Arabidopsis thaliana: one gene and its partner. The protein of the gene in region 1 interacts with the protein of each later gene in a pairwise test. Each region holds a gene or a part of one and is shown in the gene's direction. Other genes may lie near its edges.

The links.
Region 2: the proteins of AT1G13460 (region 1) and PP2-A2 come close enough for resonance energy transfer, tested with the Arabidopsis thaliana proteins (one study listed by BioGRID).

What each region holds. Positions count from the first base shown.
Region 1 is NC_003070.9:4,613,677-4,619,099, forward strand, and holds AT1G13460 (Protein phosphatase 2A regulatory B subunit family protein), read left to right. Parts: upstream 1-2,090; 5' UTR 2,091-2,383; intron 2,384-2,751; 5' UTR 2,752-2,827; coding exon 2,828-3,991; intron 3,992-4,189; coding exon 4,190-4,504; 3' UTR 4,505-4,773; downstream 4,774-5,423. Other genes in the region: GT-1 (Homeodomain-like superfamily protein), read right to left, coding at 79-213, 522-560, 824-1,439. UniProt on the Arabidopsis thaliana protein: The B regulatory subunit may modulate substrate selectivity and catalytic activity, and may also direct the localization of the catalytic enzyme to a particular subcellular compartment.
Region 2 is NC_003075.7:10,774,464-10,778,247, forward strand, and holds PP2-A2 (lectin-like protein), read left to right. Parts: upstream 1-2,149; 5' UTR 2,150-2,193; coding exon 2,194-2,340; exon of another isoform or gene 2,341-2,421; coding exon of another isoform or gene 2,422-2,442; coding exon 2,443-2,582; intron 2,583-2,673; coding exon 2,674-2,964; coding exon of another isoform or gene 2,965-3,040; coding exon 3,041-3,125; downstream 3,126-3,784. Other genes in the region: PP2-A1 (phloem protein 2-A1), read left to right, coding at 1-118, 506-627, 866-1,238; AT4G19860 (alpha/beta-Hydrolases superfamily protein), read right to left, coding at 3,192-3,599, 3,719-3,772.

The sequences.
Region 1 (5,423 bases):
TCAAAAAACATATCTTTAGCCTTATAGAAAATTAAACTTTGAGGCTTAAGTTTATATAAGCTTTTTCTGAGGACTTGCCGTTTCCAGGAGTCTCTCTCCAATTCCAAGGAGTAACTCCATTTGCTGCAACAGCATCAACTGCTGTAGTGATTGCAAGAGGATGACCATCATGATCAAGACGCCTTTCAAGGTTTAAGGCTGGCCTGCCATTAGCTGAAACATAGATATATATACACTTTTCAAACATACACACACACACACACATCCTCTAGAAACAAAACTAAACCATCTAACACAGAAACTGCCTGTGAATTCTACGGCACAGTCATGTTTACTATTTGTTTCAGTCCCAAATGTTCACTTCACTAAGCAAGTTCATACCTCTACTATTGCTCACTCAGGGAGATGTTTTCGACCAACTTAAAAGACAACTTCAAGAGGCAGTAGACAAACAAAAGCTCGTCTCTTTGTATACATAGCAAGATACTATAATAAACAAACTAATAGTGATAGATAAGTACCTTCAACGGATCCAAAAGAAATGCTCGTATCATCAAAACCTACAATGAAAGATAAAATTACCACTTAGCCAAAAGAAAATTAAAGGCACAAAATCCACATACGCAGATTCATTTACCAAAACTATCATCTTCTTTAAAGATAACTGAAAAACCACAATAAGAAACCTACTCTAAAATGTAGTATCTTCTCAGCCTAAGATACAGATAAGAATTTTCCCAAATAGTAGCAACAAAAACCATAATCACAGTTACGTTCTCTGAATCCAAATCAAGAAATCTACAATTGATGCCAAAGTTTATACCTTTATCAGTAAATTGCATAAAGGAATCAACTTTGGCTGATGTAGGTGGTGTATTAGGGCTCTTATTATACTGTGGTGGTGTCACTTTTTTGCTCCTCTCTCTAAGAATATCTTCAATCTCTTTGTAATACGACATCTTCGCCGATCCATTTCCTCTATCATGATGCTTAGCTTTCTTAAACTCTTTCAACAGATTCCTCCATTTATCAGTACACATAGTCGGAGATCGATCAAACCCTTTTTCTCTCATCTTAGACGAAATCTGTTCCCAGAGATGTTTATTAGATTTGGATGTATTGAATAAACCATCCATACCTCTACGGAACATGATTAAGCTACGAGTTTCGTCTTGAACCCATGTCTCCGCTCGTTTCTTTGGTGCTTTAACTTCGTGATCTTCTCCACTGCTTTCTCCGAGGAGAATCTGTTGTTGTGGCTGAGATTGGTGGAGATGATGATTGTGGTGATTGTGGTGGTGGTGAGATTGTAGATCTACTGATTCGTTGGTAGTGGTGAGTACATCGATCATCATATCGCGTGTGGTGCTGGTGGTGGAGGAATTGTGATGATCGTCTTTGTAGAAATCAGTAGGACGAGATTTGTCGGAAATGAACATTGCTGTGTTTCCCGGACAGAATGGATACGATGTTCCTTTGTTCCCACCACCGTCAACACAAAAGCCCCCTCAGAACAAAATGAAAAAAAAGGTTTTAACTTTAAGTTAGGTTTTCTCTATCTTAGTCTAGAGATTTGGTTTTGGATAAGGATAATTACAAATTTAAAGTTTTGGTTATATAAATTGGTTTGAATGTTTTTGCCATATAAACTTTGTAATGTCAATCTGTTATTGCAAATATTAGCATGTGATGTTTGTATCTTGATGCATCAAACTTCATCACCTTGGCATCTGATATATAACTTACATCTTGTGTGCATCCATAAGACCAAATGCATCAAAGATTCGAAGGGAGAAAATGTCAAAAAAGAAATGAGACACTCTTCTTTGGAACAAAACAATAACTAAAACCATAAACCGAAATTAAGTTTGTATTAAACACAAGAAAGATTGAACCGAAAAACCAAACCAATATAACCGATTTTATTACATACATTCAAAACTATGTCGTATAATAGTGTTACGGTCGGCAATTAAAATCTGGAATTTTAAAACATTTTGAAGTGTTGTCAGCTTGAAAATTCTGTAAAAATTACTAATTCAAGTGAGGGAGGAGTGGACCTGGCAGGCCAGACCGAACACACACACAAAAAAAAACAATATTAAAATAAAGGGGAATAAAAAAACAATTAAAATTAAATTAAAATAGAATTGAGAAAAAAAAGTTTGATCAGCCATCGGAGGAGAAGAGAGAATGATAGATAACTGGATCACGAGAAGTCACAAATCTCAAAGAAGAAGAAAGAAAACCAAAATCAAGAACAATAACAACAATTCGCAATGATTTGAGCCAAATCTAAAGGGTACAAATTCTTAATTTCAAAGTCAATCAACAACATCGAAGGAGGTTTTTTTTTGGAAGAAGAACTTGAATGTGAATTTTTGTAAGCTTTTTTTATTTCATTATTCATCGTTTTTTTTTTCCTACTTTTGACCTTTGTTTTGTGCAATCGGAGGTGTTGTAATGTGCGATTTCTCTTGATTTTTGATTTTGTGATTGCGTTTGTTTCAGAATCAGAATCGAAAGTTTCGATTTTTATGGTTTGTAGTGGTGATTTTTTTCTGTTTCTGAGTTTCGTGAGTGAATAAAGAAGAAGAAAAAATGGTTTTGTTGTAATAAATTTGGTAAATTTTGGGATTTATCTCCATTTCAGGTTCTTGATATAACTAACTTTGTGTGTGTTTTAGTATCATATCTTCAATATTTCAGGTTCTTAATCTGTTTTTCTTGTTTTTTTGTTCTGTTATTCAGATGGAGTTGATGAAATTGTTCTTCTAGATGTTTGTTTTGGGGATATGAACAAAGAAGAATCTGAGTTTAATACACTATGTGGAAACAGATTCTGAGTAAGCTTCCTAAGAAGTCTTCTTCTAAGAACCATTCTTCTTCATCTAGTTCCACTTCAAAAAGTAGTGATAATGGCGCCAGTAAATCGGGTAATTCTCAAACCCAGAACGCTCCTCCTGTAAAACCTTCTGCTGATTCAGGGTTTAAAGAAGGGAATTTGAAAGGAAATGGTAACGGTTTCACTCCATATGAAGCATTGCCAGGTTTCAAAGATGTTCCTAATGCAGAGAAACAGAACTTGTTTGTGAGAAAACTCAGCTTGTGCTGTGTTGTTTTCGATTTCTCGGATCCAACGAAGAACGTTAAGGAAAAGGATATTAAGCGGCAGACATTGCTTGAGCTTGTGGATTATGTAGCTTCTCCTAATGGAAAGTTTAGTGAAACTGTGATTCAAGAAGTGGTTAGAATGGTTTCTGTTAACATATTCAGAACCTTGAATCCTCAACCGCGCGAGAATAAAGTTATTGATGCGTTAGACTTGGAGGAAGAAGAGCCTTCTATGGATCCTACTTGGCCTCACTTGCAGCTTGTCTATGAAATTCTCCTGCGGCTTATTGCTTCACCAGAGACAGACACCAAGCTGGCTAAGAAATACATTGACCAATCTTTTGTCTCAAGGTTACTTGATTTATTTGATTCAGAGGATCCTAGAGAAAGAGATTGTCTTAAGACCGTTCTACATCGCATCTACGGTAAATTTATGGTTCATCGTCCTTTCATAAGGAAATCCATTAATAACATTTTCTATCGGTTTGTTTTCGAGACTGAGAAACACAATGGGATTGCTGAGTTTCTAGAGATTTTGGGAAGTATCATCAATGGATTTGCTCTGCCGCTTAAAGACGAGCATAAAGTGTTTTTGGTTAGAGCTTTGGTACCTCTTCACAAACCGAAAAGCTTGCAAATGTATCATCAGCAATTGTCTTATTGTATCACACAGTTTGTGGAAAAAGATTGCAAACTCGCTGATACGGTTATAAGGGGACTACTCAAGTCTTGGCCTGTCACAAATAGTTCCAAAGAAGTCATGTTTCTAAACGAGCTAGAGGAAGTATTAGAAGCAACTCAACCACCTGAATTCCAACGGTGTATGGTCCCATTGTTTCGCCAAGTTGCTCGGTGTTTGAACAGTCTCCATTTTCAGGTAATTGTATTTTCCTTTGGTTTGCTAATTCTGTGAATCATGAATGATGGGAACAATTCTTACAAGATTGAAATGCGTGATATTTTGATTGAATCCATAAGAACAAAGCTTTGTGATTATTTCGAAAGCTTGAATCTTTGTATAAGCAAGCTCAAGAAAGAACAAAAAGGTTGAGACTTTTTTTATTTTGTTTTGCAGGTTGCAGAAAGAGCTTTGTTCTTATGGAACAACGATCATATCGAGAATCTAATAATGCAGAACCGGAAAGTTATTCTTCCAATCATATTCCCTGCATTGGAGAGAAACACTCAGAAGCATTGGAACCAAGCTGTTCATAGCTTGACGTTGAATGTGCAGAAGATCTTTAATGACATTGATGCAGAGTTGTTTAAGGATTGTCTTGCTAAGTTTAGAGAAGATGAATCAAAAGAAGCTGAAATTGGCGCAAAACGTGAGGCAACGTGGAAACGGTTGGAAGAAATTGGTAATCAAAAGCAAAAGAGTTCATTGTAAGATGTTTTAGTTGTAGAGACAGAGGTTTTGTTCTGTATTTTCTCGTTTTTTACTACATTGGAAAATTGGGTTTGTTTTTCTTACTCTCCAGAAAAACTTAGTGAGAAAAAAGTTTCAGATTCGTTTTCTTTGAAGAGATTGCAAATATTAAAGATCGTTGTTTTCTAAAGCTTGCTAATGGGTTCCAAATTATACAGCAGAGTAAGCAAGGTTTTAGTTTTAGATATGAGATATGGAAATAAGGAACACCTCTTCCATAAGAAAGATAGTTTTAAATTGAAGAGTATGATCTTGTTTGTTGAAGGTTCGCTAGATTTTGTAATGGTTTTTGTTTTTGAGAAACTCATTCTTACCGATTCAAGTTTTTTTTTTTAAAGTGATTTTCCTCTAAAGTTGAGAGGCTATAGTTTTTGGAAGATTTTAACCATTCTCAATCATGATCACTTTGGTATTTGACAGAACAAAAAACAAAACAAAAAACTCAGTAACAATCTAAAACAATTCATCATCTTATTTAATTTCTTTTCTTATTGCAAAATCCAAAAATATTCAAAACCCCACAACTTATAGTATAGTCCAAAGTCCAAACCCAAAACTTAGAGTTTAAGTTGTTTTTCATTCTGTTTTTGTCTATATGACAAATCTTTTGATTCATATTAATTTATCAAATAACAATTAATTCATCAAAAGCAAATATGAAAATATATGAAAAGAATTTTATTTTTATTAGCGTTAGAAAAAAAAGTTTAGGCCAACATGAAAAATTAATTGCGTTAGCTACGAGATTACAACTAACATCACCAACATAGAGTTAAGTGATTATTGCATTGTCATCACACGGTATTCCTTGATAGAATGGTTAACTTGAGGTTAAAAGAAACTATCTTTGAGGACAAAGTAAAATGTTAGGAAATTGCGT
Region 2 (3,784 bases), on another chromosome or scaffold:
GAAATCTCCACACAACTGTGAGGCCATTCTCAGAGACGCAGATCCTCCGATCTCTCTCTCCTCTGTTAATCTCTCTGAACAGCTACGGTCTGGTGTTTTCTTGAAACCCAAGAAACAGGTTCATATTCTTTTTAAGAATTAGCTCACTTGTGTTTCTATTTTCAGAAAATAACTACGCAAAACGGAGCCTTTAGGTAAACAAAATTGCAAACACAGAACTTCTGGTTCAAAAAAATTGAATCTCTCATTTCTAAAATAAAAAGTAGCTTAAAAAAATGATCAGATCACAAAACAAACGTTTCCATTCTGCTTGGTTTAGAAAGACATGATTGCTACTTCCACATAGGTTTCAAATGCTTCGAAAGATAAAATAAGATAGAACTAATGGACTAAAGTAACACTATCAAAATGGTAACTTTTTGTTAAGAAAATCAATCTTAATATATTTAAGACGGACCATGAATTCATTTGGTTTGATGATCTGCGTATAATATATATTAAACAGATCAAATATTGGGTGGACGAGAGAAACAGCAACTGCTTCATGCTCTTTGCAAAGAACCTCTCTATAACTTGGTCTGATGACGTCAACTATTGGACTTGGTTTACCGAAAAAGAGTCACCAAAGTAAGATACGTTTCATTTAAATCCCATACTATGAATGTTACCACAAAATGAATATCTTTGTTACATATTTGATTTACAATAGAGTTGAGTATGAATCAAAGTATCCTTGATAAATTCGAAACAGGTTACGACGTTTTAAGTTTGTGTGTGTATATTATAGCAATATTAATACGAATTTTGACCTATAATTATTAATGCAAAGTGACAAACTTTAGTTTGTTTTGGATGATTTTTAAAGCGAGAATGTGGAAGCTGTGGGATTGAAAAACGTTTGTTGGCTCGACATCACGGGAAAATTCGACACGAGGAACCTCACTCCGGGGATTGTTTACGAGGTAGTCTTTAAGGTGAAGCTAGAGGATCCGGCCTATGGATGGGACACGCCGGTGAACCTAAAGCTAGTCTTGCCTAACGGTAAGGAGAAACCACAAGAGAAAAAGGTGAGTTTGAGGGAACTTCCAAGGTATAAATGGGTCGATGTCAGAGTTGGCGAGTTCGTACCTGAGAAATCCGCTGCCGGAGAGATCACTTTCTCAATGTATGAGCATGCGGCTGGTGTTTGGAAGAAAGGGCTCTCCCTCAAAGGTGTTGCAATTCGTCCCAAACAGTAATAATTGTTATGGCATAGAAAAACATAAATCTCCATATGCACCAATGGACCTTCTCAACATATATTTCACATCATGTCATGTGTGTATAATAAGGTTGTTCTATCGTATTTTTAGTTTTAATAATAACTTTAATGTTGGTGTTGAATAAACTCAAAACGAGTGTTTTGAAGGTTGTTATATTCGAATCAATTCATTTACAATGTTCTAACTTTTAACGAGCTGACATGAATTTATTTTTGGTAAAAAAATAAAAAGTAGAAAGATTTTCTATGAACCTTAAACCTAGTTAGATCCTATCAAAACCCATATTTAATTTGGCATAAACAATATTTTCTAAACATGTGTAAAATATCCACATAATCTCTCAATTAGGCATTTTTGATAGATAATCTTAAAGGTATATGAGCGAACAGTCTATATGCGTGGATCATGTTCACTTTTTAAAAGAGTATTCGAAAATTCCATTTTGGTGGAGAAAATGGAAGAATAAAGCTAGCTAACATATCAAATGAAAAGTATAAAGAATCAAACATGTTTAACAAGACGTAAAAGAAAATGGAATATATTCCAATCAAAATTTTGTTTGCGATGTGTACGGTGTACCATTTGTTTAATTTATGTATTCTAAAGTTTGATGATACTTACAAAAATACACTAATGGAGAAGTCTACTATATATAGCCAAGAGCCCAAGAGGTTGGGTACAAGTCTAGGTAGTTCAGCTATTTTTGGATATTTTGACATAATTTAGATAATTTTGTGTTAAACATTTTGAGAATTTTTGGATTTCGACCATCAGATAAGAAATTACTTAATCTAATGAATAATTTAGTTATACAAAACATTCAGGTCGGGAAGGTATAATCATGAAATTCCTCTATAAATAAGACCTGAATACAATAGCTAGTAAAAGAAGAAGAAAACATATAACGAAAACACACAAAAATAATCAAGGAATGGGAATAATATGGTCTATCTTCTCAAAGACAAAGCCACATAATAACAACGAAGACATACTAAAACATGCAGACTCTCCTCTTACTCATGATACGACGTCGTCATCTCAGGTCGACGATGACTTTTCCTTGAAGCACAAGACAGAGGTCGTAAATCTTTTTTCTTAGGTTTCATTGTCTAACTTTCCTCACCTTGTTAAATATGATACTAATAGTTATATTTTATTGATGTTGGAATCTCTTATTCAGAAGAACTTGATAGAGGAAGATGAGGGTAAAGCGAAGAAAAACTGTTTCATGTTGTACGCGAGAGATCTCTCAATTACATGGGCAGAGTCTCAAACAAATAAATATTGGAGTTGGTTCTCTGATCTTGACCAAACATCAAGGTTATGAGTTTTATTGTAAGAAAGTTACTTTTGTGTTTTTTTGTTTTTTTAAGATTTCACTAAATTCTGCATATTTGTATACACTATACAGTGATGTAAGAACTGAGGTTGCAAAGATGGAACGAGTAGCTTGGTTAGAAGTTGTCGGAAAATTCGAGACGGAGAAACTAACTCCCAACAGTTTGTACGAGGTTGTGTTTGTGGTCAAGCTAATCGATTCTGCTAAAGGATGGGATTTTCGGGTTAACTTCAAATTGGTTTTGCCAACCGGAGAAACCAAAGAGCGGCGAGAGAATGTGAACCTGTTAGAAAGGAACAAGTGGGTGGAGATTCCGGCCGGTGAGTTCATGATATCACCAGAACATCTCTCTGGCAAGATTGAGTTTTCGATGTTGGAGGTTAAAAGTGACCAGTGGAAGTCTGGTCTTATTGTGAAAGGTGTTGCTATTAGACCCAAGAATTAGAAAATCCAAACTTGTAAGCTTAAACAATAATAAGAACACGAAATTTATTATGATGATGATTTATGTACACGAGGCATGAGATTTATTTGCTATATACAGACACAAAGACACACTTGACGACACATTACAAAGGGAAGATGCGTTTTTATGCATCAACAGAGACACTTACAGCATTGAGCTCTACATGTTGTCTACCATCGCTTTGTGGTTGGACGGTTAAGGTTGCACGAGCTTCAGCTTGAGGGTTTTGATCATCTCCAGGTTGAGAGACTGATATGGAGTTCACGGTTGACCCGGTTGTGCCGATATTGTTGTCATCTGATATGATGTCCCACGATTCTTTCACGGAAGCAACCTCGAGTCCATTCTCATGGAATTTCTCAAATTCATATGTGGTGGGAAGGATGACATAATCGTTTACTGGGTTGTAGAACGGGTCTGGTTCGCCTACATTTAGCCATTTTTTGAGCATTCGGAAGACACGGTGATCGTTGAGGATTCCTCGGTGCTCACCAGGGACTCCAACTCTTGCTACTGCTTCAAGCCCATCCGCCTAGAAAAGAAACAACCGAAGGAACCGTTACAAAGAGAAATGATCAACCTAACTGATCGAATTCAAGATTTCCTTTCCTTGTGATGAGTTTATATAAGAAACACGATCATGCAACATACCATGGCAGATTCCATCGGGACTGTGCCATCACCATCCACGCATATATATGTCGGCTGAGATTACAA